3 linked regions of the Drosophila melanogaster genome follow. The protein of the gene in region 1 interacts with the protein of each later gene in a pairwise test. Each region holds a gene or a part of one and is shown on either strand. Other genes may lie near its edges.

Evidence for each region.
Region 2: the proteins of Pep (region 1) and CG33557 interact in a two-hybrid assay, tested with the Drosophila melanogaster proteins (one large-scale study listed by BioGRID).
Region 3: the proteins of Pep (region 1) and Sid interact in a two-hybrid assay, tested with the Drosophila melanogaster proteins (one large-scale study listed by BioGRID).

Annotation. Positions count from the first base shown.
Region 1 is NT_037436.4:17,636,478-17,650,356, reverse strand, and holds Pep (protein on ecdysone puffs), read left to right. Parts: upstream 1-5,320; 5' UTR 5,321-5,466; intron 5,467-6,277; 5' UTR 6,278-6,370; coding exon 6,371-6,378; intron 6,379-6,630; coding exon 6,631-6,994; intron 6,995-9,101; coding exon 9,102-9,331; intron 9,332-10,303; coding exon 10,304-11,852; 3' UTR 11,853-12,254; downstream 12,255-13,879. Other genes in the region: Krn (keren), read left to right, coding at 1-478; Ndfip (Nedd4 family interacting protein), read left to right, coding at 1,113-1,916; CG43085 (uncharacterized protein), read left to right, coding at 3,917-3,976, 4,036-4,743; CG7497 (uncharacterized protein), read right to left, coding at 12,648-12,914, 13,056-13,411, 13,472-13,664, 13,822-13,879. UniProt on the Drosophila melanogaster protein: May play a role in the process of early and late gene activation, or possibly in RNA processing, for a defined set of developmentally regulated loci.
Region 2 is NC_004354.4:10,003,494-10,012,867, reverse strand, and holds CG33557 (uncharacterized protein), read right to left. Parts: upstream 3,659-9,374; 5' UTR 3,634-3,658; coding exon 3,407-3,633; intron 3,298-3,406; coding exon 3,167-3,297; intron 3,110-3,166; coding exon 3,015-3,109; 3' UTR 2,819-3,014; downstream 1-2,818. Other genes in the region: Dna2 (DNA replication helicase/nuclease 2), read right to left, coding at 1-597, 657-1,694, 1,752-2,297.
Region 3 is NT_033777.3:28,664,841-28,674,779, forward strand, and holds Sid (stress induced DNase), read left to right. Parts: upstream 1-5,863; 5' UTR 5,864-5,897; coding exon 5,898-5,943; intron 5,944-5,997; coding exon 5,998-6,396; intron 6,397-6,446; coding exon 6,447-7,114; 3' UTR 7,115-7,181; downstream 7,182-9,939.

The sequences.
Region 1 (13,879 bases):
CTTCGCCTGTCCACCGACCTATGTCGCCTGGTATTGCCTGAACGATGGCACCTGCTTTACGGTGAAGATCCACAATGAAATCCTATACAACTGCGAATGTGCGCTGGGATTTATGGGTCCGAGGTGCGAGTACAAGGAGATTGATGGCTCGTACCTGCCAACCAGGAACCGTGTGATGCTAGAGAAGGCCAGCATTGTTAGCGGAGCAACGCTGGCCCTTCTGTTTATGGCCATGTGCTGTGTGGTTTTGTATCTGCGACACGAGAAGCTGCAAAAACAAAAGCTGCACGACAGCACCACAACCACAACGACCGACGGTGGCTGTCAGAACGAGGGCATGGACGAGGTGGATGGCTTGCGACCCTTACGTCCAGTGAGACGTCCCTTTGGACCCTGCCGCATCCTATCGCTGGAGGAGGCCCACCTTCAAGCGAAAGCCTCCAATCGCCCCAGGCATTGCAACGAACTTTTGCGCTAACTAATTAGCCTGGCTGCTCATTTGTTTTTAAATGTCTAACATGTCCAACTGTTTATTTTAACTGCTAAACGAAACTATTATTTTTGCCATCTGATTGAGATGGCGAATGCCGTAGTTCTAAGTGCCTACTGACGTGCCTATAACACATTTAGATCAAGTATTAACGAACGAAAACTGATTGCTCAGAGAGAGATAAAAATAAATCTAGATATAATTCAATGCAATTTTGGCAGCTAGCCGCCCATTTATTTATTATACACCTAATTTTATTAAAAAAAAAAACGCGTGAACTAATATCGTCAATAAAAGCGAGAACTAAATCACCAGCTTTACTTTCAATTTAGATAATGCAAATTTCGAATACCTTTAGAATTTGATTGGGAATAGTTTGCACAAAATTCACCATGGCCTTGATTTTCCTTTTATTTCAGAGATGCATGTAAATACTAAACAGTTGATCTGTTAAGCTACACGAAAATAAGGATATCTTAAATTTAGTATGTAAGAAAGAAAAGAATTTCTTAAGAATCTTCTTTTCTGAGACGTCACCTTAGGCTGTCAAAAAAATTCATATGCTTTGTAACCCCTTAAGCACTGAATTAATTTTCCCGTTTTCCGTTTGTAATTTCCAGTCATGCCGCACAACAACCAGCCGTCTCCCGGGGATGATCAGTTGGGACCGCCAAAGGCGGACTTCAGTGCTCCGCCACCGTACGAGGCGAACGTTGGCCATGGCCAGCAGGTAGCACTGCCGGCTCAGATGCCACCGCTGGCCTTGGCCACACCCGATCCCAGTCAGATCCCGATACAGATGCAAGTGCAGCTGCCGAGCCAGGCGGACCTTATGAATGCACAACTGCCGCCAGAAATACACGGGAAGTTGCCCACGTACGAGGAGGTTCAAATGGAAAAGTCGCTGAACGGAGAGCTGCCGCCCGCCTTTTTGACTTTACCCTCCTCGCAGCAGCTACCGCCGCCGCCGAATCCGCTACTGCCGCCAAATCCGCTGCGCGATGGAGCCGCTGCTGTGCGATCTGCCCAGCCGGCACTCACGTTCATCGCCATCGATGCCAGCGATCCGGAAAATAGTCTGTCCACCACCGACAACTTGCTCGGCACGGACATCATGTTCATCACGGCCTTCATTGTGGCCTTTTTGTTTAACTGGATCGGCTTCCTGATGCTCACCTGTTTCTGTCACACAATCGCCGCCCGATATGGAGCATTGTCGGGATTCGGATTGTCGCTGGCTAAATGGACGCTGATCGTGAAGCACTCGACGGACTTGGCCTCGCACGAAAACTCCTGGCTCTGGTGGCTGATCTGTGCCTTTGGCTTCCTGATCAGCATACGCGCTTTAATACAGTATGTCAGCATCAAGCGATCGTGGCGCCTCCTTTCCGCCTCTGCCCAGGAACGGCTGCTATTCTTTTACTAGGTGCACCTGGAGGCTTTCCAGTGGTCGTCTTGTAAATACGTTGTGGGTGGCTAGGAGGCTCGAATGCTACCAACCAACCGATCCCAACACCCTCTATTCCCCAGACCCAGCACACGAAAAATCAACGCGAACTTATTTTGCAGAGTTCTCGAAATCACTATGGACTTGAAAGTATTCCCTCAAATGTATTAGTCAATCAATTTCTTTAAAATAGAAGTAATGTTATTCAAAAATATACTTTGTATATCCGTTTACTACACTTTCAAGTCACAAACTTATTGGGATATCTCGCAAGTCCAAAATTGCATTAGCTTTCAAGAAAGTTTCAATTTTCTTTTAAATACTAAATGTATTGAACAGTTTTACATTAAGCCAATTGTAAATTGTAAACGGTGCAGCGGCTTAGATGTTGCGAAGAAAATTCGATTTCGAGAGCTATCCGAGTTGTGGGTTATCATTTTTTGTAGTTTCTGTGTTAACTAGAGACGTTAAAAATGTGTGTTAAAAAGTGAAAGGCGAATGCATCTTCGCATCTGCTCTCCCCCAATCGATTATAATTGTAAATGTATGTGAAATGTGTATGGATATATAAATATCTCACCCTAATTGATCCCTCTACACCCCCACAAAATCTCCCTAGGCCTTTTAGTGGCGCCCATGCACTTGAAACAAAGACACAAAACAAACCAAAAAATAAATGGGATACAAAATTATAAAGGGTCGAGATAGAAAAGTATGCCACCCATATCTTTTGTTGAGCCCATTTTACGCTGTGGTACTTAATTAATTAACTACACAAGAGCCAGCAGTAATACGAATGCTAAACACACACAAACAACTATTGCTAGAACATATGATTATTGCCTATTATAACGTTTAATTACTATGTTTAATCCCTTTGTATGTAAATCAAACGATGCTTATGCATTGCAAAGGGTGCAGAGTCGCATTATCTGCGCCAGTTTTATGCAAATTCAATAAAATCGAATGATGTCATTCAAATTTGGAACTTTTCTTTGGTACTGCTCAAAATTACGGAATATTGGAAACAATGGACTAAGAAATCGAAACGATTTTTTTTCTGTCTATTTGAATAAAGCTACACAAAATTAAGATTAGTTTTCAGCTTGAATTTGTTGAATCATCAAATCATGAACTTATAGTCGCATCAAAACAAACGAAAATCTGTTTACATGTTCGATTTTAATTTAACGGGAAAACCAGCTTATCAGCGGCTTCGGAATCAACTATTTCTGTATCCTTTTTCGTATTAAGAAACAGACAGAATATATTTCTGTCCGTCCGCGAGTACAGTATAAATTCTTTATCACGAGTTCTAGAGAACTACACGAGCTAGAAAGTTGAGTTTTGAATTTTTTTAGATAAAAGCGTACTTCAGGTAAATAAAGCTTTAACTCAAATTATTGAACTGGTGTGTGTGCTAAGATTATTATTATGTATTTTATATTTTTATTTATTGCTTTATAAAATATTATTGATATGAATCAAATAGAATAGTGATTTTGTTTGAGTAACCATAGTGTTTCTCTTGATTAATTAAATATTTTCTTCAGCTTGGCTTTTGACATTTTTATTAATAATTAAAGCCTACTTTATTATTAATACCGACCGAATAAGAAACAAGATGGATTTCTCAAAAACAATTACCAAAGTTTACAAAGGAAAGCAATAATTGTAGTATGCTTATATTTCATCGGAATATTGATAAGAAACTCATGTATTGTCAGAACCGTATTCTTTTGTATTTTAATAATTACCTCAATTTATTTTATTTAAGGCAGTTACCCGCAAAACACTCCGCAAAACCAAAATTTCAGACATTCTAATTCATCCCAAAGGTCACAAGAAAGGTACTCAATGTATGTACACATGTACGTAGCTTGATAACAGATTTGCTGATGGGTCTCATTTTGCGACGATGAGTATAAAAGGCCTTTTTCTGAGCAAACATAATTCAGTGTTCATTGTTCGTCGGTAAGATGAAGGCAGTTACTTCAAGAGTGTTGGGTTCGATCCTAGTGTTATTATTGATACATTTAGTAAGTTTGAACTGGGTCATTATTTTGTATATACTAAATATTTCTTATTCTTTTAACAGACATCAGCAAAAGAAGCGGAGGTTCACTTAACAAATCCTCCAACAGAATGCAGACTGGTGTGTAATCCAGGGTATCATATCGTGGTTAAAAAGGGTACCTTGTATCATAATGGTAGGAAGCTTGACGATAATGCACGGTATGCGCCGAAGATGGCGTGTGATTTGGAGAACAGTTGCAACTTTAAATTTACGCCACAAACATTAAGTTACATGAATACAGCAATTAATGTAGGCACACAACTAACTATTAATTACGACTGCAAGCGGGATAACTTCCAAGGAGATCCGAGAAGGATAACAGATTATACGAAAACGCAAGGATGTCCGCAAGACTCTTTTGTTCAGAAACACGTCGCATATTTTAACGATGAAAATATTGCTCCCAAGAGGGATACACCTGTCGCGCAAAGGGAAAGGGAAATGATTGCCATGGGCGTATGTGCTCAGGTCAAACGTTTTAGGCAAAACAACCCAAGAACGCCCATCGATCCACATCTTGGCACAGTGTACTTGATATTTGACAATAGAACAAGTAAAAATGATTTCATGCCGAGTCCTGATGTTAGAAAGTGCCAACTTAAGCCCAATTCTCTGACCAAGACATACAAGTATGATTGCGAGAGGAAAGCGGATAAATGGACATGTACTTTTGCCAGCAAGGGAAGGGACTTGGCCATAAATGACAAGATTACAAGTCACTTAGGATGATTATCATTTTATTGTATAGGACTCAAGGCTCAAATGGGAATGCAAGACACAGCGGACTAATTTTATTCCAAACGAAATTTTAAATATACATATATGCAATTGATCAAATTCGTAATAAAAATATGAATAAAACGATAATTTGTTCATTTCTTTTATCGCGATGGAATATAGCTCTATATATCCGTTGTTATACGCTAATAATATTATGTTCTATGATCGAAGTTTTAACGCTTTTTGTGTTTTACAGAAAAACGTTTTATGTCTAAAAGCGCATTTTTCACTTAAAGGATCCGAGAAATTTTAAAAGTGGCTTTATGATAGAATTGTATAAGAGTTTATGCAAGGATTACAAGCGGAAATTCTTTTGAAAAACATTTCTTTATTTAAAGCTAACATAACTAAGACACAAATTTTGAAAATATTACGGTCTATACCAAAAAAATATCGATATTTTGTCCTTATTAGCTTATCGCACTGCCATCTAGATCTGGAAAAAATATCTATGTGCTTCTTTTCGATAGTGATGAAAATTACTTTTATCGATACTTCGCGCACGACCATCTCTAGCGCAGCGTCAGACGTGATTCGATTTTCTTTCGTCGTTCGGATCGGAGCGTAATATTGGATAGGCGGAGTGTTTAGACAAGGGCGGCCATCTTTCTGAAGTGAGGAAAACTGTAGTCCAAGTAGTCCAGTCATTTTGACAAATCGCCGTTGCAACACGTAAGTTTCTAACTAATTTCACAGTTTGCGCTGCGCCTCTGTCCTTTACTTGTGTAGGCTAACTGAAAACTGGTGCGTATGTATGTATCTGTTGGCGAAAATTTTACTTTTTCACTTGCTACCCGGGCGTCTGAAAATAGTAATTATTGATTTTCCTGGGGCTCCTTGCGTGTATTTGTGCATTAAGTAATGTGATAATGAGGTAACTGCTTTTTTACGAGGCCTTGATTGTGGATTATCGTCGTAAGCGTTATTTATTTGCATTCCAGAGCTTAGACTAATGCGTATAGTATACGTCATTGGTGCAAAACATGTTTTTATCGCGATTAAATGGGTCTTTGGCTTTTTTTTTCCTATTCTGTACTCTAACTTTCCCTCCCTTTCGCACTCATACGGCCGGCCGGCTTTCTGGCTGAATCAATTACTTATACACACTCAGCGTCTGGGCCGCCATCTTTTTTCCACTCGCAGTGATAAATTTTAGGTGTTTTTTGTTACCTTCATTTAAATTGGCCAAAAGGCGTGAATGTGTTGGTGTCGCACAAACCAGTTTTACATGTGATTAATGTAAACTGCTGACTGTAGCGCCAAATTGTTCCATTTCTTTTCCTTTTCCCCTATCTCTTTGCGTGTATGTGTGTGTAAGTGGTGTGTGTATACGCACGCTGGCTTGTTTTACGGTTTTTGATGCGGTTCCATAATAACTACCCGTAGATGTGGATAAAGAGATCTGGCGATTACTAACCCAAATTAATGAATTCCCGCTTGCATCTCAACATTTGTTTTGTTCTTTGTGCCGTTTTACTTTCAGCTTGTTTAAATAATTTCCTCGCTTAAACACAAACCCTACATTACACATCCCATAAACACTCCCAAAAACAGCAAAAAAAAACCCATCAAAATTATGGTCAGGTATGCTGCACATCAACCCCGAATATTCGAAATTATTTATGTATCCCTAGTTCCCAATTCCAACGTGATTAATTATAAAATTATATTTTTCCAATATTGTCGATATGTTCTTGTTTAAAAATTGTCAGCTTATGTAGAATAATATATCTTAAACTGCTTGGAAAATTATAATTTTATTGAATAAATTTGTCCCCCTACCGCTTCGAAAGAAAGTTATAGTTATACTGATAAGTGAATCATGTCTTTTTGCAGCGTAAAGGTCAACGGAAATCCGCAGAATCGTTTAGTGAATAACGCAAAGGTCAACGGCAACATGGCTTTCCGTGGTAACCAGAACCGCAACCGCAATTTTGGAGGTGGCAACAACAACTATGGTGGACCCATGGGCGCCAACCGCATGGGCGGTATGAACATGTCGCCTTGGGAATCGCAGAATCCCGGCGGCGGACAGTTTGGTAACAACATGCGACAGGGTGGCGGTCAGATGAACGCCCAGGCCATCAACTTGGCCAACAATCTGCTGAACAATCTGTTCAGGAACCAGAATCCACCATCGCTTCTCGACTTGCCCCGCGGCGGCGGTGGCATGGGAAATCGCAACCAACGTGGTGGCCCGGTATGTACAAAAGTTTACTTATTCTCGAATTAGTTGACAATGCCAACCGAATGAATTGTTATACTTACCTATGTTGTTATTATTTATGGGTTCGTGAACTGCGAATCGTATTTCTGTTGTGGAGTGTCATATGTTGAAATAATTTAAAAAATTCTACTAAACATGTAGAATTCAATTCAAAGCACATAGTAATCTTAATATTTTGTCTGTTTACTTTTGTTGTACTCAATATAAACTCAACTTAGGATGCCTAAATCGTATAAACATTTTGTAATTACGTGTATACCTTTTGGTAATATACTTGCTCTCCACAGCAGAACCTTTTATTTTGTGTTTTACCCTTAGTTAGATCGTAATATTGCTAAATGTAGCTAATGCTTTTCCTTTAAAAGATAAATCAAAATGATCTTAAACCTAATCTTAGCTTGTAGTTTACTAAACTAAACCGACGACTGAAAAATAACGAAAACCAGCGAAAAGAATATTGAAAAAAGTAATAAGAACTTTGTGCAGTGTAGGATGTAAGGTTGTCAAACATTAGGATTAATGTGGTATTAGGAGGATTTCGATAAAAACGCATTTATTCCATTTAAAATGCAATGCTTTTTTGTTTCGTAGAAACTGCACAAACGAATAAGAACCTGATTATTACACCGAAAATAAGAAATGACAATTTTATAAAATAATACACACGTATTGATAGCGAAATGTACCAATTAAAACATGTACCGCCAACACTTGTTCCACTTAACGATGAAAAGAGTATGATGATGATCTCCATATGTCAAGATTGAATCATAAGTAATTTATATGCAATATTTTCTTACTAGTTGTACTTAAGCATTTAATTACATTTTTACCATATTTATAATTCGATTAATTAATTTCCGAAGTTCCATTGCCAAGTAAAAGAAACTTTCTTGGCCGAACTCAATTTGCCACAACGCTTTTCTAATTTATCAATTATCTATTTTTATTCTCTCTTCCAAAACCAAACAATGCCAAACTCAAAAATTCGATGCTTTTCAATACACCTCCAAATATCGAATATCGAAACCGCATCGTCTTGCATATTTCGAATAATGCATTCCATATTGTTGTTGCTGCTCCGGCATATATACTTGCTGTTGTTGTTGTTGCTGCCGCCGCTGCTGTCGTTGTGGTTGTTGTTGTCGTTGTCGCTGTTGCGCGTTGTTGTTGCCGTCGATGATGACTCTTCCCATTTGCAATAATCCATTGCAATCAACAAAAATCTAATCCCCATTGACGGCCAACAATATTTTCGAATATCCAAATGAAATTGAATGCAAAACGCAACGCACACGCACTCAACACACACGCACACGCGATGCACACACACACGTTGTGGCCAATATGCGAATCTTCACCAACGATGCGATACTGTAAACTGTACGATGCTTCCCGTGCGACGCCACTGATTGATTGATTGATTGATTGATTGATTGACCGATTGCCAAATCGATTGACATTGATCGCCATGCAATCTTCTAATCTGCTCTGCTCTGAAACCGAAACTGATCCGATCTGGTACTGGTACTGCTTGATGGTGCAACATAATTACATCCAAAACCACAATATGAAATACCTATTAATATTTTATGTCTAATGCCAATTCATCGCCAAATTCTTCTTCGACGTTCCTGCCTCTGAAACTCAAAATCCGATTTCCATTTTTAAATGCCACTCGCCGCCACACGCCAACGAATTAATATATATATATGTTTATGCAATATATATCAACCTATCCCCGTCGACTGATTGGCCGCCGCAACTGCCCCGTCGATCTGACCAAAATCAATATATATATACCATGTGCTCCATGTACTTATGTATACTTTACTATATATCAACGATTTATTCCCACAATTATCTATAATGTGTTCAATCTGATCGCTCCGCCCCTCACACAATATTGTAAATGGCCAACCGCGCCATATTGTCTCCGATCTTTCGAAAATGCTTTGTATCATTAATGCCTCTGTTTGTAAATCAAAACGATATCAATTCACATATGCCCCATGTGCGCATTCCGAATTGTGCAAATATTTTAATGTCAATCCCAAATGATAAACGAAACAATGTATAGATGGTCAGTCGCGGCGGCGGTGCCGGCAATCGTCTCAATAACCGTCGTGGCCAGGGAGGTGGCTTCCAAAATCGTGGCGCCACTGGTAGTGGACCCAAGCCCCCGCCAAAGCAGGGCGGCGGCGGTATTCGCAAGCAAAATGCTTTTGATCGTGCCAAGAAACTTTTGGCTAAAAATGCCAACCAAAATAAAAAGAAGGAACCCACTCCTGGCGAAAAGAAAATCGAGAGGTAAGACTTACAACAACTTTTCCAAAACAAAACCAAAACCACAACAAAAAGTATAAATATTTTGCTGCCCAAAATCGAAAGGATTGATTTCTTTCACTAATATCAAAACAAATAACGAACTTAGCAGGGCGAATAACAACTTTTTACTTAAGTACTTAGGCATTCCAATTCTCTAATTGCGTTCCCTCATACATCTCTAAAAAAAAAAGTATATTTAATTAGAATTAGTTCTTCATTAGGGATAGTATATTTTTTGATGCTGTTTATAAAACTGTGTGTATGTGGGGCAACTTGTGCGGGGACTCATTTGGGTAGGGAATTGTAAATGTATAAATTTATGTGTTGAAACTACATACTATTCAAGTTCATACTAATTTTTTAAAATATAATTTACCTTAAAAGAAATTGTTTAAATATAATCTTTTCTTTCTTTGACTTTTGTGCACATTAAAAGTTTTAAAAATATTTTTAAAGTTAAAATGGAGAGAACTTTATAATTTAACTTCATATTCATGCTTAAATATTTAAATTAAATGTATAAGCTCACAATAATATTAAATTTCCTCTCCTTTTTTATTGATTTGGAAGAATATAAATTTTGAATAAATATATCATAAATGTAAGATTTCATAAGAAAAGAAACATGCTTCTACATACCTAATAATTTTGTTTAAAACATAATTTGTGGCATATTTCTTCTCCTTGCAAAGTCATCATTCTCACTATAGTAACGCATTTTTATCATAGCTAAAAACATTTATTATTGTATCACCTATCGCCACCTGTACTGTACGTATCATAAGTCTAAATTGCAGCGAGAACCACTATACTCCTATAATATAATAATCTCTTCCCAATAGCCAGACAACCAGACGAATTCCCGTCTATGAATTTCAAATTAGAAAACTAATGAATCTTTCTTTTTCTATTCCTTCTCGAACAAATCGAATGATCCATGATCAATTTTAATAGCCCTACCAAGGAGTCTCCATACGCTAGTGTGCCGAACGACATGTTCTACTGCCATCTGTGCAAGAAGCACATGTGGGATGCCAACTCTTTCGAGAACCACATCAAGGGCCGCACCCATCTGATGATGCGTGAGGGCATTGAGGAGAGCTATCGCCTCAAGGCCAACATGATCCGTCAGGAGGCTAAGATCGCAGAGCAGCTCAAGTCGATCGAGTTTGACCGCTTGAAGCGCATGGGCAAAAGCAAGCAGCGTCAGCTGGACTACTGCACCATGTGCGACCTGAACTTCCATGGTCACATCTCGACCCATCGCAAGTCGGAGGGACATTTGCAGCTGAAGAAGTTCTTGCACCCCAAGTGCATTGAGTGCAACAAGGAGTTCGCCACTCGCATTGACTACGATACTCATCTGCTGTCCGCCGAGCATCTGAAGAAGGCTGCCGAGAACAACACCAAGGTGGGTGAGCGCAAGCGCCAGACCTTGCCCATCAGCACCGAAGAAGAGGAGACCCGCGATTTGCGCCTGCCCCAGAAGCGCAAGAAGAAGCCGGTCAAGAAGGAGGGCGAAGCAGCCGATGGCGAGGCTAAGAAGGAGGGTGCCGGCGATGGCGAGGGTGCCGAAGGTGATGAAGCCGAGGGAGAAGAGGCCAAGGAGGGTGAGGAAGCTGCTGACGAGACAAAGGAGGGCGATGAGCTAAACGAGAGCCAAGAGGAAGAGGAAGTGGCACTGCCCGTGGACCCCGAGGACTGCATCCTTGACTTCAACGACGGCGATGAGATCCCCAGCGAGGTGGATACCCGCCTACCTAAGTACAACTGGCAGCGTGCTGTCGGTCCCGGTCTGATCTCCAAGCTGGAGTGCTATGAGTGCTCGGTGTGCAGCAAGTTCTTCGACACCGAGGTGACCGCCGAGATTCACTCCCGTACGGCGACTCATCACCGCAACTTCTTGAAGTTTATCAACGAGAAATCAAGCGATACCAAGATCGCACAGAAGCGCGCAGCTGCCGCCCTGGAGGAGAATGAGCGTAAGAAGCGCAAGGTTGAGGAGGCAGAGGCTCCGGCTGCCGAGGGCGCAGCCGAGGAAACCACCGAAGGCGCTGAGGGTGAGCTGTACGATCCATCGGAAGCCACTGGCGATGACGAGGACGTGGAGATGGTGGATGATAATGCTGAGGGCGAGGGCGAAGGCGAAGGTGACGAGGAAGCCGAGGCTGAGGTCGAGGAAGATGGCGCCGGCCAGGACAACGGCGAAGAGGAGATGGAAGCCCAGGAGGAAGAGGGTCAGGAGGGCGAGCAAGAGCCCGAACCTGAGCCAGCTCCAGTCCAAACTCCTGCCCCGGCTGAACCTGCACCACCAGCCAAGACCCCAGCCAAGACTCCGACCAAGGCAGCTGCTCCAGCCGCTGTTGCCAGTCCCGCAGCTGCGGCAACGTCGGCAGACGCCTCTCCATCTCCGGCCAAGAAGGCAACGCCTGCTCGCGCTGCCGCCGGAGCCAAGGCCACGCCGCAGCGACAACGCGCCCGCGGTCGCTACAATCGCTACTAAGTAGACGTCGAAGGAATTCGTAATTTAACATAACATAAACCTTAATATACAAGAAAAAATTTACATTCACGCCCAGGAGGAGGATGAAGAAAGAACAGATCAAATCGATCTCTTCCCGCAATTTGACATTTGCATCCCAATTTGCATATACACTGAATGAATGGAAACTGAGAAGAAGACGGTCAACTTTTAGTTGAAACAGTTGAATATATTGTACGACGAAGCTTCTTGAAACTGACGAGGGAGAACACAAACAAGTTAATTGAATCGAGAATCGTATTACCTACCCGATTCCCCCCTCACAGAACGCATACCATGCCAGCCAGCGAACCAACCATTCAACTTATGTAATCATATAAATTCTATAATAAACAAAGAAACAAAACTAGTTGTAAAACAAACACGATTCCTGTGTGTCATTGCGGGATATGGAAATTGGCTTTCAATCTGTTGCAAAATGAGATTCAGTAGCAGTGTATATATCTATGAGGGCTGTACGATTTCGTTTTAGCGCACAATTAATACATTTAATACTTGATCTTTTTACACAAGCGTTATATTTAATGCTACAAATCGGTACAGAGATTAAGTGAGGTGAGAATACATACATATAAGGAAAGCCTTGATATAGTAAGATACGAAGTGGGATATATTTATTATTTACAGCTTACGAGACTAGGCGCTACTCCCAGGAATGCTCCGAGGGAGGCGGAAACGCTTTTTTGAGTGAGATCCCACTGAGTCGGGAAATGGGATTAAGTACTTGGGGGCGCGCGGTATGAAGATCGAGTGGAATCAGTTGAATTCCAGAGTATTCGCCTCCGTCATCGTCGTACGCATGCGGCTCTGGTCGCTCTGGGAACGACGAAGTCCGCCCGGACGCCATCCGCTCCTCCAGCGCTTAATGCATCCCAGCAAGGACCAGTTGATGGACTTGGAGCGACTCAGCACATAGACATACGGATCCGAGGTGAAGTGCAGCGCCGTAAGAACATCGGCGATGATGAAGAACTTGTTCGATGCGGGCACCCGATTTGGAGCTATAGCCAACGGGATGGCGATCTAAAACGGAGATAATTGTTGATAAAGGCCATGTAAATTTATTATATTATATTAGATTTGCATAATACGGAATGGTTGAAGATACTAGACGTTTAGTAGTTACTATCTGCAAATTTAGAATGGTATCCACCCAGTACTCACCATCTGTGGCATCCAGCAGATGACGAACGAGATGCTGAGGAACGCCATTAGTTTGGCGAACTTGATCTCGACTGGCGAGGAGTCGGTGGCCGCCATTGTGACGCTAACGCTGTGCCTGTACTGCCTTGCCGGCTGTACACTGCGATGGCTGTTTCCGCTTCCGGTGCTCAGCTGCGTCTGGTAGAGGGTGGTGCCGCTGCTGCTCTCGGGATCGATGCTGATGGCACTGTTTTTGTCCCTGGAAACCAGGTCGTAGTGCATATGCCGCTTGGCCGTGCGACTCCTTCCGATCACACAGAGCAAGGTGTGGGCCACGAAGAGGTTGCAGGCCACGATTACAATGCACAGCAGGGTACCTGGAATACATCGATGGTCAAACCAATATTTGAAATGTAACCAATTTGATAGGAACTTACCGAAGACCATAAAGAGCACCGCATACGTCTTGTTCCACACGCCCGGCGCATCGCGATATCGTATACACTTAAGCTGGTCCGGATTGGATTCATCGATGTATGCACCAAAACCAACGAATGGCAGGAACGTGATCACCACGGCGATCATCAGAATGCTGTTGATGCTCTTGCGAATGAGCTCGTAGGTAATGTGCTATGGCGAGAGAGATTTGTGAATATTTAATGAATGAGTTGGCAATGTTTGTGATTTCCTGTGTGCACTTGTATCATTTCTTAAAATTAAATTACACTAAGAATAAAATGCATAGAAAATGTTATTTATTATACATATATTGCAATCAAGTTCATACCTTGTGGTAGATAAAGGGTCTGGCTAGGGCCATCCATCTTTCTGCCGCCATAACTGCT
Region 2 (9,374 bases), on another chromosome or scaffold:
CCTCTCTTCGCTGATTTCCTCCAACTGCTTATGAATCCTAGACCCAGAGCCCAATCTCATCATGGGCAATCCGAAAGGCAGCAAACGCATGATCAGATTGTCCACAGCCGAATGCGTTTGTGCTGTAATAAGCACACTCTTTCCGAGAAGATGGAGCAGTCTGACAAGGGCAACCAATGTCTGGGTCTTACCAGTGCCGGGCAGTCCCTTGATCAACAGGTGACTGCTGGTTGTCAAAGCACGCAAAGCAGCATTTTGTTGCACTTTGTTAAGATTCAGCAGAATGGGTGCTCCCTTGGTGAGGATGATCTTGGGCAGAACTTTGTGCTGCTCTGGTGGCTTCTTGGCCACAATAATATCTCTCAGCTCCTGGAAGCGTTCTCCCTCGGAGAGCAGCATACCAAGATTGGTAAAGTTAAAAGTGGCAAAGGACTGCGAATCGTGCTTATCAATAATAAAGGTCTCCTCGCTATAACGCTGGCTAAGATCCCTCTCCAGCCGAAGATCCAAACGACGAGCTTCTATAGATACAATAAAACCAGCAGCAACGGCCAAACGGGATGTGGAACTGATTACAACATATTCGCCCAAGTCGAACTGAAAGAAAGAGTTGAGATAAGAATATAGTGATCTGTGGATTTTGTGGCAAAACATACCCCACTGAGGCTGAGATCTCGACTGGGATCTGCCTCTTCACCGAGCTCCAAGGTCTGGCGATAGCGTCCCTCTTCTAATATCACTTCTTGACCCTTCACTAGCTTCAAATGTCGAATGGCTATGCCTTCTTTTTCTCTCTCCGCAGGGTCCTTCGTCCAAAAAGACCTCACATGCGAGGACTGCCGATTGTGTTGCTCTTCTAGAGCCAGCAAACCACACCAATGCTGCACGTAGGCATGGTCTGCCTCACTTAGATGCTCCAATAGCTGTGGCATGAGTTTCTTGAGGGGATGTGAGTCGCTTAGCTGTAAACTTGAATCCTTCTGGGCGAAACTGGAGCAAATGGTATTGTAGGCACAATTGCCGCAGGCGCTGTGATGGTAAACGGGTTCGGGTAGCGGCAGTTGCTCCAGTGGATCCTCCTTGCTAGCCGGAATGGCTACTTCACGTGTTAGCCAGTAGGCCAGATCATTTCTTAACATAAGGAGATCCCTCTGTTCGTTTCTCCCGCTAGCAACTTCTCGTAGGAGTCCCTCTTTGAGGTACAGAAGCAATCCCGATTGAGTATCCCTGCCCTGGGCAGAGTGCATCAGTTGGTAGAGCAGCAATTGGCCCTTGTGTTCCATGGAGAAGCTGGCTCGGCCGGTCTTCAGTTCCAGTGGTATGATCTCCTCCCTCTGCCGTTGATTTTTTACCTTTACGGAGACATCCACCTTACCCTTGAGTCCCAGTTGTGGAACCCAGAGGTTCTCCTCTATATCGCATATCTCGTGGATTTGACCTCTATAGACTTCGGGCAGCAAAACACTTGGCGGTTCACCCTTCACATATTGGGCCACAAAACTGACAATGGGATCAATGAATTTCATCAGATGATCCTCCATTTCCACCTGGATGAGATTGCTGGCATAGAGTAAATGAGCCAAAGAAGAGCTGGCCAGCATCTCCTGGAGGGCAGATTGAATGTGTTTTTTATCGAAGAGCTTCTGGCGTAGAACCTTTTGCAGCAATTCGTGCACCAGAGTGCCAATGACCATCTGAAATGGAATACATTCTGGATAAATTGGGTTATGCTGATATCGAGATGTACTCACAACAGAGTTTCCCGAGTCCAGACCGCGAAATCGTTCCTGCAGAACAGATTTCCGTTTGCAAAACAGGGAACCGGTGACTGTGGTGCCGGAAATGAGGAAATCCGGATGGGACACGCAGTAGCCCTGCTCCTTATCGACCACATAGCATCCTGCAGACGGATCCCACTTGCCCAACAGGGAGACAGTGTCTCCAACTTGCATTGGCATGCAATTCCACGGCGGTAGCAGTTGGCAATCAGCTGTCTCCGGATCCCCGCCAGAAATCCTCTTAACATGCACTTTAAGGCCTTTTCTATTGGGGAGCTGCTCCAGCCGCACCACTTCGCAACGCTGCCACTTGGTGAGCTCCAATCGATGATTGGATATAGAATCCATAGCTGCAATCAGCGCCAAATCGAAGTCATCATTGTCACCCCAATCAATGTTCTCCACTTCGTCTGACGAAAAATCCAGTTGCTCTTTGAATTTCTTTTGTGGATTGGATGACGTCACGTCAGTGTTATCATTCTCCAAAATATTAGGCGTCAGCACGCGTTTGGTGGCCATCGAAGGGGCTATTTGTTATTGTTAAATCAAATTATTTACTTTATTTCAGTTATGCGTACAAATGATTTGGCGGGAACAGAGTGACTGTTTTCTGCGTGTGGTAAAATACTTATGAACACACCGGCGCCTCGTTGCTATTTAGCTAGCTTGTAGCTATTTAAAAATTACCGCGTGTTTTAAACTAAAATCTCCTTCTATCACTAACAGTTGTTAGAAAATGAAGTAATGTGTATCAAACAATTATTTAATATATAAAATTGCTTAAGCTGCCTTCTGCTTACTTTTTGTTTTCTTTTTATATGTATATATTTGATACTTCAGATCTAGCTACTAATTTTAGTCATCTTAACGAAGTACAGGTGGCGCAGTTGTGGAAAACATCCGCACAGATGGCGACAATTTAGCGACATATATTAAATTGCTCGTGTTGATTTTGAATTCTTATCACCACCAATTTTTAAATAGATTTCAATATTATAGTTAATTTAATTTAATTTTAATTTATTTTTATCCTACACAAGAGATCGAAATGTTGAAGAACTACAACAGCTTAGTAAAGCAGTTGTGTTGTGGCAAGCAGTTCACATTCGGTGGAAGTTCGTTCCAGAAAATTACCATAGGTGGCGCTTCAATTGGGCGCCCAATTCGATTTCCTAAATGCAACAGATACGACGAATTATATAAATATTCTTAGAAATATCCAATAAATAATTAATTTCATTTGGTTTTCAGGCAAAAGGTGCAGATACTGATACGTCTAGTTATTCCTTCGCTCTCGTATTTGTGCAGCAAACATGGCTGGCATTCAGTGCCTTAAAAATTTAAACAAATTAGTATACTTTTATATGAATAACGTTTTTTAAGCAAACCTGTTTCTAGGGTGCTACTTAGGTGCGTTATATAGCTGCTGGCCAGGCGGATGATCTCGATCTTTGAAAGCTTGCGATTCATGGGCTCCGTGGGTATTAAATTTCTTAATGCCTCGTAGGCCGAATTAACACTGATTTTGTTTAGGAAAAAAAGAAAATATTAAATGGTTAATTGTTAATAAATACACTTTCAACTAGGGCTATGTTTTGCTTATTAACATTTATATACTTTTTACTCACTTAAATGTCCGATAGCGCTCTCTAGCATTGATCTTCTGGCGCGGCGGTCGCCTCCTGTGATTTCCCTGATTCTCCTGGCCACCTGGATTGGCCTCCTGGCCAATCTGGGAGTCCTCCGAGTCGGCGGCTGCTCCACTTCCGCTGGCACTGCCACTACTATTGCTATCCTGGGCAAATACCGCCATCAAGTAGTTGGAAAACGACGACGAGGACGATGAGACCGCCATCCGTTAGCAGCGGCGATTGGCGAGCAACTGAACGGACTCTATGGCCGAGCCCATGACTATATCCACTTCTATATGCCCCGGCTGCATATTTGGGATCTGCTAAATGAATTAAGTCATCGGCTAGTGACGACAAATTGTGCGTGAAGATGGGAAACAATAACGAGTGCGTTTTCTTCGCTAAATGTGTGCACTTGTCAAAACAAAAAGTGAAGAATGCCGGGCACTTGTGCGATACTAATTGTGCATCAAGTGGCTGGCGTACCAAGGATAAGTAACATCTATATATCCATCCCCATTTGTCCATCGGCGATTTGTTGGGCCAATTTGTTTGTTTGCTTGTGGAAAACGGAAGTGGCACTTAGACCCTGACCTTCCCCTCCCCCGCTACTTTTATTTTATTTTATTTTTGTTTTTGGTTTTTCTGGACCGCACACATGCCACGCATGCGTTACAGTAAGTCATTCAGTTAGTCAGTCAGTCAGTCAGTCAGTCAGTCATTCAGTCACTTATTCATTTGCTCACTCAAGCAACGCAGTTTTGTATGGAATGTGCCGAGATGGATAATCCAGATATTTATAAACCAGATTCGAGAAAATCGAGAGGGTGTGCAACGAAGCAACTCACTGCGAAATTGTACAAATATTTGCAAACGTTTCTTAATTGCCCAAAAACATTTCTCACATTAATTTTTAATTTTAAAATACTTGGCCATCATAGTGTAGTATAATTAATTGAACGTAAAATATGGATGGCTTGCCAACGATATTATTAAATTTATTCACCTAATCAAATGCATTCTTTGCGTATTTTCAAACAAAAAGTTCAAGAAATCGGATTTCGTACAAAACATTGAAAATAAACAAATAAATAAACAAATATGGAATGCTATACCTTTCTAAGCTCGTAATTAAATTCCCATGCAAACTGTAATATATTTAGTATTTTGGGCACAGCTTAAAAAATATTTGTCCAAATAGCGAATGTCATACCTCGCCGAAATCGTAACTAAATTTGCAATCGATCTGTGTTCAAAAATGAAAACTTTATTTTTTGGCAATTTTTTGCAAGTTTTGATGATGTTACCCCTTACAAAAAATGCAAAAATTGACCAAAAAATTAATTTTTCTAAATTCTTCAAAAACTGATAGGGATCATAAGCACTGGGAATTAGCTGCTCAAAACAGTTGTTTTTACATCTATATGAGCATTTTTAGCCAAGTTATGATGAAAATTCCGTTTGTAATTATCAACTTCTTGGCAAAATCCGTTTTTCCGAATTTTGGTCTTCAAATAATCAGTTTTTTTGCTACAACCTTAAAAATAAGTGTCTGAATATGGAATGTCATATACCGTTGTGCTCGTATTTAAATTCCCCATCGAACTGTATTCACAAATGGAAATTCAATTTTTTTCAGATTTTTTGCAAATTTTGATGATGTTACCCCTTACAAAAAGTGCGAAAATTTACCCAAAAATTAATTTTCCTAAATCCGTCAAAAAGGGATAGGAATGTTTAGCATTGGTAATAAGCTGCTCAAAACAGTTATTCTTTTATCTCTACGATCATTTTTAGCCAAGTTATGAAGAAAATCCGCTTCGCAAACATCGAATTTTAGGAATTGTCCAATTTCCGTCATCAAATAATCAGTTTTTCTGCAACAACTTTAAAAATAATTGTGTGAATATGGAATGCCATATCTCATTCTGCTCGTATTTAAATTCCCAATCAAACTGTGTTCAAAAATAAAAATTCAATTTTTTTCCGATTTTTTGCAAATTTTGACGATTATAAAAAATGAGAAAATATGCCCAAAAATTAATTTTCCTAAATTCTTCAAAAATTGATAGGGATCGTTAGCACTGGTAATTGCTGCTCAAAACAGTTATTCTTTTATCTATATGACTATTTTCAGCCAAGTTATGACGAAAATTCCGTTTGTAAATATTAACTTTTTGGCAAAATCCGTTTTTCCGAATTTCGTTCATTCAAATAATCAGTTTTTTTGCCACAACTTTAAAAATAATTGTCTGAATATGGAATGCCATACACCGTTGTGATCGTATTTAAATTCCCAATCGAACTGTATCCACAAATAAAAATTCTATTTTTTGGCCATTTTTTACAAATTTTGATGAAAATTAACTCGAAACTCAATTTCCCTAAATCCGCCAAAAAAGTGGTAGGAATGGCTAGCCTTGATAATTACCCGTTCAAATTGGCAATTCCTTTAGTTTTAACCCACTTTAACTCATTCTATGCCGACCATTGCAAATATATTTTAGAATACTTCAGTCTATAAATGAACATTTTCCCCTTTTTAAAAGATGGAATACACAGAATATGAAATATTTATAATCATTTTATTTTATTTTATACACATTTTTCGAAAGTTTCACTTAGCTAGCTAGAAAAAAATCATAGTTAGAAAAACACAATTCGCTTAGGATTATGGGGAGTTACAAACAAATCCAGGGGACACAGGGAAGTCGAACAAGAACGGTTCTATATATATAATAGGCATATCGAATCGGTTTTATATATTGAGTATGCTTCAGTGAATGTGCGTGTTTGTGTATGGGTGTTTTTGGGGCTCTTTGACCAACAACAGCAAATAAAAAAAAACATTAAGCTCGGCTACATTTCATCTAATAGAAACTTGACGTGTCTTCTGCATCCACTTAGCTTTCTTCTTCATCATCATCATCATCATCATTATCTTCACATTCATCTTCTTCGTTTCGTTTTCGTTTAAAATAATTAAAAATAATAGTAAATAAAACACCACAGTCATGATTTTTTTTAATAGAACACAAAATATACACAAAAAGGAGAGAAGAGGTCAATTACAAATTAGGGAAATTGGGTTTAGGAAAAGTGGTGGGGGAAAATTTGCAAATAGCAAAATATTTACAAAAGCCGTTGAAAATTTTAAAGATATGGATAGACGGGTCAGGGAAAATAGAGATATAGTACTAGGGCAGGAATAATTGTATCAGGCGTTTCTTCTTCTAAACATATTCATATGAATGTTGTTTCCATACTTTCGATTCGATTTTGTTTCTTTTATTGATACATATAAATAAAATTCTTTGATTCGTGTTTTTTTTTCTGCCAATTTTGCTTATGGTTTTATAATTTTTTTTTTGTGTTTAGTTTGTTTTAACTAATTTCGTTTATGTTATAAAAAAATTTGCTATGAATTTAAAAAAAAGATGTTGACATTGCCGGGAAATTTCTTTGATCGAACAAAATTCTCTCCGTGTGAATGAGTGGCCGTGTTTGTGTGTGTGTGTGTGTGTGTGGGGTTGTTGTGAGTGGGTGTGTGGGGCATTGGAAAGGGGGTTATTTCTGGGGTGAGACAGAGGGAGATAGAGACAGACTTTCGGGGCGTTTGGGGCTAGCGAGTTAGAGAGAATGATCTGCTGCATTTGACTCTGTACAGGTTGGTGACTTGACTAATTCGGGCGAGGGCGTGGCCGGTGCTGACCCTTGACCTTAGATCAGCGCCGTTATCAGCTTGGCCTTGAAGTTCACGAACTTCTCGCTGGTGGCCGCAACGCGCTGCAAACGGGTAGGTAACATAGATTTCGTTAGATTAATAGCACATAAAACCCTAGTTACTGTTACTCACCAGAATCAAATCCTGGACGAGATTGGCCAGACCGCGATTGGCCAGCACCACGAGGCGCGTGACTGGGCCGGGAATGCCCTCGGTGTAGCCATCGGCGTTGCGAGTGCTATCGCCATCGGCGTCACCATCGCCGCCCAAACTGCCGCTGCTACTGCTGCTGCCGGCACTGCCGCCCACCGAGTTGGCCGCCTCATCGCCCTGCTGGGTCTGAACACTGCCCGAAAAGAGCTGTTTGTTTGTTCGTGGAAGTAAAGTATACCAATTAGATGTCTGGATAACGGTTGAAAGTTCAGCCAACGGGTGTGGTACTTACCCTCACCACATCCAGCAGGAAGTTGCCGGAGCCGCCGGCTCCCAGAGCATTGCCACTGGGCGAACCTCCTGCACCGCCGCTTGAGCCGCCGGCGAGACCCGCACCGCCAAAGCTGAGGAACCTTTTGAACAGATTACTATTGGTCAGGCCATTCCAATTCAAAGCGTATGTTGTTGATCGTTATTGATATTAGTATGTTGTTGAATTTCGTTGTTGAGGTAATTCCATTCGAATTTGTTGTTGGTTGTTCAGTGTGATGCAAATGTTGTTGAGTAGTAAATTTATATTTATAAGTTGTTGAATTTTGTTTCATGTTTGTTTTGTTTGCAATTTATCAGTTGGATTTCCAATGTATTAAGTATTGTTGAAATGTTGCATCATTGTTGAATTGTTGTAGGGGTGGAAAGGGAAGAAAGGTGTATGATTAGTTGAGTGCCTAAACTTTTTTTGTACAAGTGTTTTGAATATTATATAATAAATTAGTCAGCCATGCACTTAGCATTGCATTGAAGGAGTAGTCCTTCACTTACCTCTTGTTGCGATCGTCCAGATCGGCGGTCTCCTCCGCAGAGTCTAGGGTGAGTTCATCGATCGCCGGCGACTTGGACTCGGAGAGCTGGAGATCATTGGTGCTCAGGGCCTTTTCGTTCACACCGGAGGACGGCGAGACACTGGGCAGTTCGTTGTTGAAGCTCAGCTGGATGGGCTCGTTGGATTTGAGGGGAATGGGAGCCTGGGCGACCGGCGAGGAGGCGGAGGACGAGGATGGGGACAGGGACTGGGCGGCAACTGCGGCGGCGGCTGCTTCCGCCTCCTTCACCTGGCGGGCCACACGGATTGTCTCCTCCAATTGCTTGTTGATGGCCGACAAATCGATCTGGGTATCAGTGGCTCCATTCTTTTGGGTTTTTTTTTCGTTTTGGATTTTTGTCATTTGATTTTTTGCAATATTTTTGGTAGGGCATTTGTTGCATTGTTTTTTATTGTGCGTGTATGTTTAAAAATTTGGAATTTGGACGTTGATTATGTGCGTGTGGGGAGAGGAAGGAGGAGGGGGTATAGGGGGTGGTTCAAGGGGTGATGGGAAAGCCCATGGTGGAGGGGGTAGGGAAAGGCAAAGCGTAGGATTTGGAGACGAGTTATGTGTGTTCAACAGTATGTTTTGTGTGTGTTTCATTTCGTTTTGTTTTCGTTTTTTCAGTGTGTTCGGATTTGGTGAGTTCACGAAAAGTGAGGTTATTTTAAAGTTTGTGAGGTTAGGGTGAATGTGAGGTTAGGTGGAGACAAAGAGGTTAGGTGGTTTTGGTTGATCATTTGCACAGGCGATTTTTGTTGTCGATTGTGGTTTCGAAATCGATCGATTGATTGATGGGCAGTTATCGAATACGTGCACAAATGCGTTCGATATATTTGTGTATACATTTTCGGTTGTCAGTTATCGTTATCGGTTATCAGTTATCGGTTATCAGTTTTCGGTGGATCGTTGTTCGTAATTTTTTGATTGATTTGATTTGATTGTTTTGGTGGTGAGTTATTTGCATTGCACAAATCGAATCGGGTTTTTAATGGAACATGAAAATAAAGAGAAAAAGATACAAAAATAAGCAAAAGAGAAAAACAAAAGGAGCGAGACAGCACAGATTGAAAGAGATAGAGAGAGTTAGAGAGGAGCGCTTAGTCTAGAAATCCACTTTATCAGACATCGACTATCGTTCACGCTTCCTTGGGTTTATATTTAGGAGTTAAGGTTCTAAAAAGATAACAATTGAATCTCTTTCTTTGCCAACAAAAAATAA
Region 3 (9,939 bases), on another chromosome or scaffold:
GTCGTCGGTTTTTGCCATTGCAACTGCATTTACGCTCTGTTTGTGTGTGTCTTTGTATGTGCGGCATTTTTCTGGAATCGGAATGGATCCGTGTGCCACAGAAGTTTCTCTTACCTGGCAGCTGTTTGCTTTGCAGTCTCGGCCATTTAATTTAATGCATTATTCAACGCAAACAATTTGGGCTCTGCAATCCGGTGTCGATGCGAATGCCGATACTAATACCAATACATATCAACTAATGCCCAACGACATGCCCTAATTTGGCAGTAATATCAATCATTGCATACATTAAGGCGCATCCGCTGATTGCACGCCAGGTTGTGGAAGTGCGTATTATTATTATTATTGTTATTATGACCAGTGACATGAGACCGCAATCTCCAATCCTCCCCATACACACATATATGGACATCCATACTTGATAAGCAGTTAAATGAGCGATGGTTGTGCATATGGAATCGAATCGACCATCACCACGGACAGAGAGGCTGTGTTGACGTGGGGATTAACATGTTGCGGCTTGTCGCACGTAATTATTCAAGCAACATGTCGGGAGCTCACCCATGGTCCATGGACCCACGGACCACAAAAGATGTTAATTAAGAAGCCAAAGTTAATCGATTTGCGGGCCAGCATGTTGATAGCCTCTGTGGCCGAGGGCTTTCATGTTTGTTTGCGGAACGGGGTTAAAACCAACTGTGGCTGACGGCATTCACTTGTCTCCTTGTCTCGGTCATCGGGATACCATATTTGCCGGCTGGAGAACGCGGCTTATGGCAGTCAAAGCCAAGTCCTGCATTCCTTTGAGCCAGGCGTGGCTTGTGAAAATGGAAAAAATTCATCCATCTATCCCGCTGTCCAGTGAAACAAAAACTAAAACTGAAAGCACACAAATGGCCAGCATATAGATCGAGCATTTTCCCTTTGGCCTTTACAATTGTTGCAATGCAACCGAGATTGCAGAAGCACAAAAACGACAAAAATAAAAACAAAAAAGACAAATAGAAACAGAATTAAAAACATTTTTAGATGCTACAGTTGCTGCCACCGGAAATTCACTAATTCAAAGATGGAGTCCGTTCGCTGCAAACTTTAACTTGCACTGTTTCCGCTTCCTCTGCTACAGTTTTTCGCCTCCTCAGCTATTTTCTGGCCAAGATGGGGGTCAGGACCTAAACCTCCACATCCACCTCCAGCTCCACCTTTCAGCTTGCCAGATTTCCTTTTCTTTCGAGCGATTGCTGTGCCATTTCTTTCGTGCTACTTGGGGAGCTTTTAATGTTTTATGCCTGATTGAGTTCTGCTTTCGGGTTCGGGCTAGGGTTTTTGTGCAGACTTTTGTTCTGTTTGCTTTCGCTGGACATTTATATGAGATTTCCGCCTTTGTGGCTTATGTTTTGAGCATTGCTGTTATTAAACTTGCAGCCACTTCAACCGGCTTTGTGCTCCCGGCCGTTGCTAAGTAATGAGATCGATTCTCTTTATTTTTCATTATTTATCCCGCCTCCGCTCACTTTGTTTTCCTATCCACCATCCATCGTCCAACATCCAACGTCCACTTCCTAATTGTTGTGCTGTACTTGATGAATTGGAATTCATAGATGGTTGGCGTTTGTTTGTGGCACAACGCTCATTGATTTTGTGGTTTTTAAGCCCACGGGTAAATGACAACTTAAAATAGCAGATCCGCTGTGAAATTGTCATAAAATATTTTCCATTTGCAAAAGATTCTATTTGGCTGAGATTAATTAATACTTTTGAATGCGATTTGGTGCTGTCATGAAAAGTGATTTTCATTGGACCGTGTTGTGTAAAGGATTAGTTCATTATTTCAGGCCGACACTAGAACCTTAGGCCGTCTTCCGCGTTGCATGTGAGCATATCGTGTGCTCAATTAGTCATTGCATTAGTCGGCTTCTGTGTGTCTAATTGATGTATTTGCCCGGCAACATTTTGTTTCAGTCCAGGCTAGACTTTCACTCCACCAGCCACCTACTCCGCCCGCGTCGGTTGTATTTATTGTGTTGTGCTAAATAAATAAAGCAATTTGTAACGGAGTCACGTAAATTGTAATCTGGCAAATAAATTGATTTGTTTGTTAAAATCGCTGCAAGCCAGCACGAAGGACCGACTGTCGGTCCGGATAGCTGCTGCTTTGATGGAACCGGAGCCGTGGCATCCTCACCCCGAACTATCTGAAAAATATCGATATCCATTACAAACTTGCTGTCAGCCTGTATTGCTGTACCGTTTTACCTAAACAGGTCATGGCAAAGAAGCTGTGGAGGGGTTATCCCTTCAGGTACACCAAAAAAGAAAACGGACCAAATGGTGTTTGGCTTGTTCCAGGACGAGGCTCTGAGTCAGCCGGAGGCATGTTTTTCCTGACCACCTACAAAGTGCAGATTGAATTGTATGCCTTTCGACACCTGAGACACTTTGGCATGAAAACTGAAATGTTTGCTAAATTATTAACCGGATGGCAATGCAATTAATATAATTTATGACTGTTAATTTGCTGCATTCCATGGAAAAGCGTTTATCGTATTATTACTTCAACTACTGGCAGCTGCATTCGATCGGTAAATAATTTAATGTTGCATGCCACACAGCCGGGCAAATATTTGTTTGGGCCTGCCAAAATGAGATTTATCTCGAGGAATTTGATTTTAATATTAAACAGGTCTGAGCTCCAGGAGGCCAGGAAGGCAGACACACTCCCTCTCCAAATCCAAATCCCTATACCAATTCCGGAGACATATGCAAAAGCGGTCGTCTGCCAGGTTGGCAGAGGCCAACTAGTTCAGCTTACTTCCGATGCCAACGTTTTGGTTTTGCCCAGCTTGAACCAAACTCGGTCCGTCTGTCTAACTGGCTGAATGTCTGCATGTCTGAATGTCTGACTGCGGCTTGGACTCTGATTTACAAGCGTAAAATAGCAGTGGCATAAAATATTTAACTATTTTGTATCGACCGTCTGTGAGTCCCAGGATCCTCTGCCAGTGAATTCGTAGTTTGGAGCTCGGAGTTCGGTTCGCCGGCCTGCCAGTTTGTTTTTGCGGCTGCTCTGAAGAGGTTTCCTTTCTGCGGGGTCGGTTTTATGTTGGTTTTTTTTTTTTTCGAAGCATTCTGCTGTAATCCATAGTACACGCTATGTATGTGTTTTGTATTTTTAATGACTTGTTATTGTGGCTGCGTCAGATATTGAAATTTTCGCCACTTAAAGCCACAACCCCATCACACACATTATGGCTTTAATGCGCCCAGCTAACAATGCCGACCAAAAAAGTCCCTCTGTCCGACGCATTTATTAAATTTTCATTAAAATTTATAGTTGCCTCGTCGCTGTGGCCTGGGCGCCCATAAATCAGCAAATTAATATTAGGTTGTGGCAATGCCGTCAGGAAGGTCGGCTGGCCATTGTGCCTAACACGTGGATAAGCATAATTCATGTTCGCTATGGGGAGGGGATTCGCCCACCGTTCCCTCTAAAATTTCTGACACATTCGAAAATATTTCGTCCAAATATGCGGCACCCTGGCATGTGACAAATTGAATGTGCAGCATTTAGCCACACCACTTAAAGCCGAGAGTGCACTTTAAAGATGTACCAGGCCAGCCAGCTTCTCATCCATTAGTCCCCTACTGCCATCGGTATTGGCTTGGTCCTGGCTCCCGAGTCCTTCGTTCTGCTTCATGCCTGCAGAGAGACCCTGACTGCCATGTGGCGTGCAAATAACAAATAAATGGCCAACTAAAACCAACATCAATCAGGTCATGTTTATGCGGGCGTGCTGCGATGAGTTTGCCCGATCCTCTGACTTGGAGCAGTCATGCAGTGGAAAGTGGCCAACAGTTTGCTTGGCGATGCTGCAGAAACCGTGGTCTGTATACACATGTACAAAGCTCTGGGCTTAGTTAATGATGTAAAGGCAGTTAATAAAAAAAACTGGTTGCTATTCAGGCTGCTTTCCCAACGATCTTGTTCTGAGGTTTTTGTTATGACTATGTAATTAAATGAATTTAATGCATACTCTAATTATTATCAATGCGAGCCTAATCAGCCATTTAAAAATCAACTTGAATCATTGATATCTTTGGTATGTACCCCAAAAGTATGCAGAAGTTTGAAAGATATGTATATAAATCGTATCGAAATAAATATGACTAAGATGCCAATTCTTGGAAGCTTGGTGTGGCATTGAACTGATAAGCTCTTAATATATGTACATTTAATTAAATACTTGGCTGTAAAATGTACACTCCAAAGATAAGACATTCAATTGTGTTGTTTGTGTATCCTATTGTAATATAGCTACTTATCTTATCATTCAGAAGTTTCTCTTTAAGCTTATTTTTCGATATCTTCAGTTCTACTTTCAAGCTTGTACCATGAAGATGCACGAGCTACGATATCTAATTATTACTTTGAGCTTGTTCCTAAGTAAGCTCAAGGACGATAAGATTCTTTGGTGAACTAATGTGACAATCATTTCTTGCAGCTGTGGGAAATGTCAAGTCCTTTTGCCAGATCACACAGGCTGAAACATGGACCGATCGACTTTTTGTCCACATTGTTAACAATCGCTACGAGCTCTTGCTCACGGATTAATTGCAACCAAATCAGCAAATAAGTTTGCTGTGCGATGGTAATGCGCAGGTGTTCACCTCCACCTGTCGGAATAATGGCCAGTTCTCTCCACCATTGCCCAGGACGAACTGCTCAAAGGCAATCCCGCCTTCCGTTGTTCCAACTTCGAGTAATATCTGTCCACACACCATGTATTTGGTTGGTTTCAAATACGGAAATACGTTCATGGAGCTCTATCGCAGCTGCTACGACGCGAGAACCATGAAGGCGTATTTCTCCATCAACACGGTCTACCCCACCAATTTAAGTTAGTTCTTATAATACCCTAAGCTTATTTACTCGCTAATTGCAACTATTTTATTACAAAATCCAGAGTCAGATCGGCCGCCAACAGTGTTCGATAAGGATGGGATCATAACTCCTGCAGATGAGGCTACCTTTCAGATGAATAGTATCTACAATCGATTTGAGTATCTTTTTGGATCTGGACAAACATATGTGCCTTCTTCCAGAAGTCTTTCCTTTGATCGTGGTCACCTTACACCGGTTGCCGACTACAGCTTCCCAAAAATCCTAAGACAAACCAACAAGTACTTGAATGTCGTTCCCCAGTACTACAATATTAATCGCAGCAATTGGAAGATAGTTGAGAATTGGGTTCGAGGACAAAAGGATGTGCTAAATGTCTGCACAGGGGCATTGGGTGTTCTTGATTTGTTGAACAGAAGCCAAAAATCTGTTTCGATTTACCTAGCACCGAACAAAAATCCCGTTCCCAGATGGACATACAAAATCATTAGGAGCCTAACCACCGGCATCAAGTACGTGATATTGACCTCCAACAATGGGTGGGAAACCCAACAACCAAACCCAGCATCAGTCTGCAAAGTTACTGCCTGCCCCAGAACTTTGAATCCAACCGGAACTGGATACACCTTCTGCTGTGATCCAATTGACTTTATCAGAAGAAACGTTCCTAATTTGGCAGGTGTGTGCTGGGATAATACCGAAAATGTGTAGAGGTTTCTATTTATCTTCAGTGTATAAACATATTAATGCATTTCAACTTCATTGAAAAAAATAAATGCATCTTTGGAAATACATCGGTTCCAAGCTGATTGACCGACTAATAGGTTATTAATCAGCGATGGCTTATCATTGGGCCGCGTTGAGGAATCTTGGGATTTTCTGAATTAAAGAGATAAGAATAATGACGAATACGATGCTGATAAGAAATGCGTTTGGCTTGACCGCGCTCTGAACGTTTCAGAATTCTTAGTTCGTAAATCAACCTTAAGCTGTGAAGATGCCCGATCTGAAGTATATGTTGACGATTCTAAGCCTGTATTTCTGTGAGTATATATAGAATAAGCTTTATTGTTATCAGAGGTTCAACTGATCTTAAGTTGTAGGAAGTGTTCAAGCGAATTGCTTAATCGACTTGGCTCATTTGAATGCCAATTATGTGTACTTAAGCCAAAATAACGGAGTCTATGATATTCAGCGCAGTGATATTGTGGAAATCCACCAGACGTTGTATCTGCTGTGCAATGGAGGACTTCATCGCACCACATTCCTGTGTCGATATGACAGTGTTTTCAGTCCAGCGCTAAGCTCAGCAGCATGTGCACCACCCGATCCTGTCGTGGTAAAAGTACCAGATACATCTTGTTCCATTCCGAGTGCTACGTTCGCCGTAGGATTTTCCTTCAATGGACGCTTTATGGAACTGTATCGCAATTGTTTTGATGGCTACAGCTTGGCGTTTCAACATTCCATCTACAAGGCTTATCGCTACGTAAACAGTAAGTGGAAAATATTGGTGCAAAAACAGTAGTTAACCTGGTACTATTAGCCGTTCCACGTCCCAATCCCACTTGGCAGTCGGATCAATTAAGTGGTGGATTTGACAATGCCTACGAGGGAAGAGCAACACAAGCTTGTTTGCTCACTAACCTGGGCGCAGTACAGCCGCAGTGTAAATTTGATCGTGGCCACATGACACCGGCTTCTGCATTTATATCCACAGAGCTGAAGAAGTCAACGTTCAGGTATCTAAACGCTATCCCCCAATATCGAGGAGTTAATCGTGGCAAATGGAAGGCCGTTGAGACCTGGGTGAACAATATGGTTAGGGGACTGTATGATAATCCAATCATCAATAATGTACAAATACCGCGTACTTACGATGTCCTTAAGGTTTGCATTGGGGCATTGGGAGTGCATAGACTAAGACATAATACCAATAACAATATGATACCAATTTACCTGTTGGATAATAACAAAATTCCCGTGCCAGAGTGGATGTACAAGATAGTTAGCCATCTCTCCGGAGATAAATGGGTAATGCTGACCTACAACGACGTAAGTCTACCCAATCAGCAGGCATTAAACCAGATCTGCCATGTGATACCCTGTCATCCGGGTCTTAACCTTAATACGAAGGACGTTGGACACACTGTCTGCTGCGATCCGTACCGTTTTATTACCATAAACGCTCCACACTTAACTGGTGTTTGCTAAGGTCAAACTAAATATTTTCTTAGATCTTGAAAATGTGCATATTAAAATAAATATAAAGTGGTATTTGAAAACATTGTTGATTTGTACATCATTTTCGCTTTATTATGACGGCTTATCAGTAACCTGCAACAAACCGCGAAGAAAATTGGAATTCTCAGAATTGCTGCGATAAGGAAACTGTATGCAATTAATTTAATTTTGCAGGGCAATGACCAGAACACATTGAATATAGAATGAACAGAGGGGTTTAAAAAGAACCTACCTCAACCCGGAAACATTGTCTGCCACAGTGATTGCATACTATAACTTTTTATGGTGCTCAACAATTGCTTTATTTAATACATTCACCACTCTTTGTTACGCTATAATATCTTCGGTACATGTTTTAGTTTTGTCATTTTCCGTCTAGATGTCGCACGCGTGCGGTTTTGAATTCTCAATAGTGGGCGCCAAAAAGCATCGACTAGCGCCATCTATTAACAAAAGTACATATAGAAAGAGAAAGGAATAAGAGCGACTGAATAAGCAGCAAACGGAGAGCGAGACAAATATAGGCGTCAAGTGCGCAAAATTCAAACAGGGGAATTTATTTTTAATTTAAAAATATAAGTTATTTTCGTTGACTTAGACTAGAAAATTTGTATGATTACTTAAATATTTTTAGGTATTTAGAATAAAGAGATCCTATAATTTTAAACTATATTTGTAATAATAGTAATAGTAATTGTTAATTGTACTTTAAATTATAAGCCATTAAGTATTTTCCAATTTAACTATTATTTCTTAGCACTTCATTTACACCTTAAGCCATTTGAGGTTGCTTACAAATAAGAGCATTAAATGCACTTTTAAGTGGCCATAAACTATGGTGTCGTTTGGACGGAATTCCACTTCCGATGCATACAACCAACTACCACAGATAATTGTTGCTTTTGGCCAATTTACTTATTGGCTTACTCTACATACTTCGCTGGTGGACGTTGACCATGTTTGAAATTTATACGCACTTTACCCGTCTGTGGCAAAATTTTTCATCTAATTTCATGCACTTGGAAAACCGATTTTCCTCCTGGAAATGTGTTTTTCCCGACTTCCGTCAAGGCGACTCTTCCAAGCCGGTCCACCGCCCAGTCGTGGAGTTGTGGCTTATGTAATGTTTGCAAATTGCAGTTTTACTTCTTCGGCAGTTGCGGTATTTGTTCGCTATGGCCACAGCCAACTCGTTGCTCATACGCCGTGTGTACGGCGGTAGTCTAGTGTCGGCGCTGTGGGCATTGTGCAACTTGTGACACAAATTCTTTGGCGCAGTCGGTGGTAGAGTGGTTTTGTAATTTTGGTTATTTACCCGGCATCGACGGGAAAGGCTAGCCGATGGAGCCAGTGGTCGCCGTCTTTATTGAATCACCCGAGTCCGAGGTACTCGCGTAATTATCAAATGCAGTTTTACCAATCCACAGACACGGCGGCACACAAAAAAAATTCGAATTCAAAACCGCCAACGAAACGATATCAAAGAGCAGGCGGCAAACAAAGTGTGCTTTAAACTTTCTTTTCATGCGCCACTTTAAGCGATCATTTCTTTGGGCAAACATTCGTAGATGTCTCGATTCGTTTCTTCGTTTGTTAGCCGCTTCATTGATTTTCATTTACACCGACAACTCGCCGCCATCGTAATTGTTGCAATTTAACGACGCCCGCCGATGAGGTAACCCATCCTCCGATTTTTGCGGCGAGTGAAAGAGCACTTTTTGTGGCCAAGAGAGCAGGCAATTTGCATTTTGGGAAATGCGACGACATACTGTCGCCCGCCATTTGCATACCAATTTCGGTCTATTGAAAACGACATAAATATTTAGATAAGGTTTTATTTTAAGTCCCGGCTATTTAGTTTCTGCTGCAATTTGCGCAACACTTACCACCGCTTTCACTGACCCCTCCGATTGAGCCGGAAACTCGAAAACTTGAAAACTGACCTCTGATCGGGAAAATTGCTTTGTTTTGACTTTGTTGTGATTCATTTGATTGGTTGTAATGCCTAAATAATGCAGCGTGAAATTCCCTTTGTATTTTAAATGAAGATGTCGAAAAATATGCGGTTTTCTAATTTGATCTCTGTCACGTTGACGTGAAATGTGTGAATTATACAAGTCGTATGCAGAGAAGTTTTCACCGAATGGCTTTAGCTTCGCTTTTTATTAGCGCTACTAATTAAGTTTCGTTTATGTAGTACATATCTTTCTATTTTACTGCCATAAAGAAACCATTCCGTTGATGGGTAAACGACCACCGCATGATAATCGTCTTAAAAGTTCATCACTCTGCTGTGTAGTTCATAATTTTTAAAGTGGCGCGTAACGCGACAGTATGAGGTTGGTATTTAGGACCCATAAGACGCTTTGGGGAACTCTTAACGGTATCGTGTAATGACTTAATTAAGGCGCAACAAGTGCCGTGAAAAATGGTTAAATGAAGCCCAGTGGGCGTAGCCGAAGCTAGTCGAAAATGTGATTTTCAAACGGCTAATTTTAAGCTCATTTTCAAAGATTTGTTGATTAATGTGCTATAAGTGCTTCAATGAGGAAGTAGTGTGGGTAATGGAAATAGAATGGAATAGATTGATACTCTGGAAAAAAGAAATATATTATTTATATTATTTACACTCCCACTGAACCAAAAAAATGTCATCTTTAAATCAAGAATATAAAATGTTAAATGTATATTACTGTTTATACTGTATACTATACACCAGTTATTTATTTAATTATCTGCACAGCTTTTCTAACTAATTACCTTTGCTATAATTTAACAAATTTACATTCCCTCAA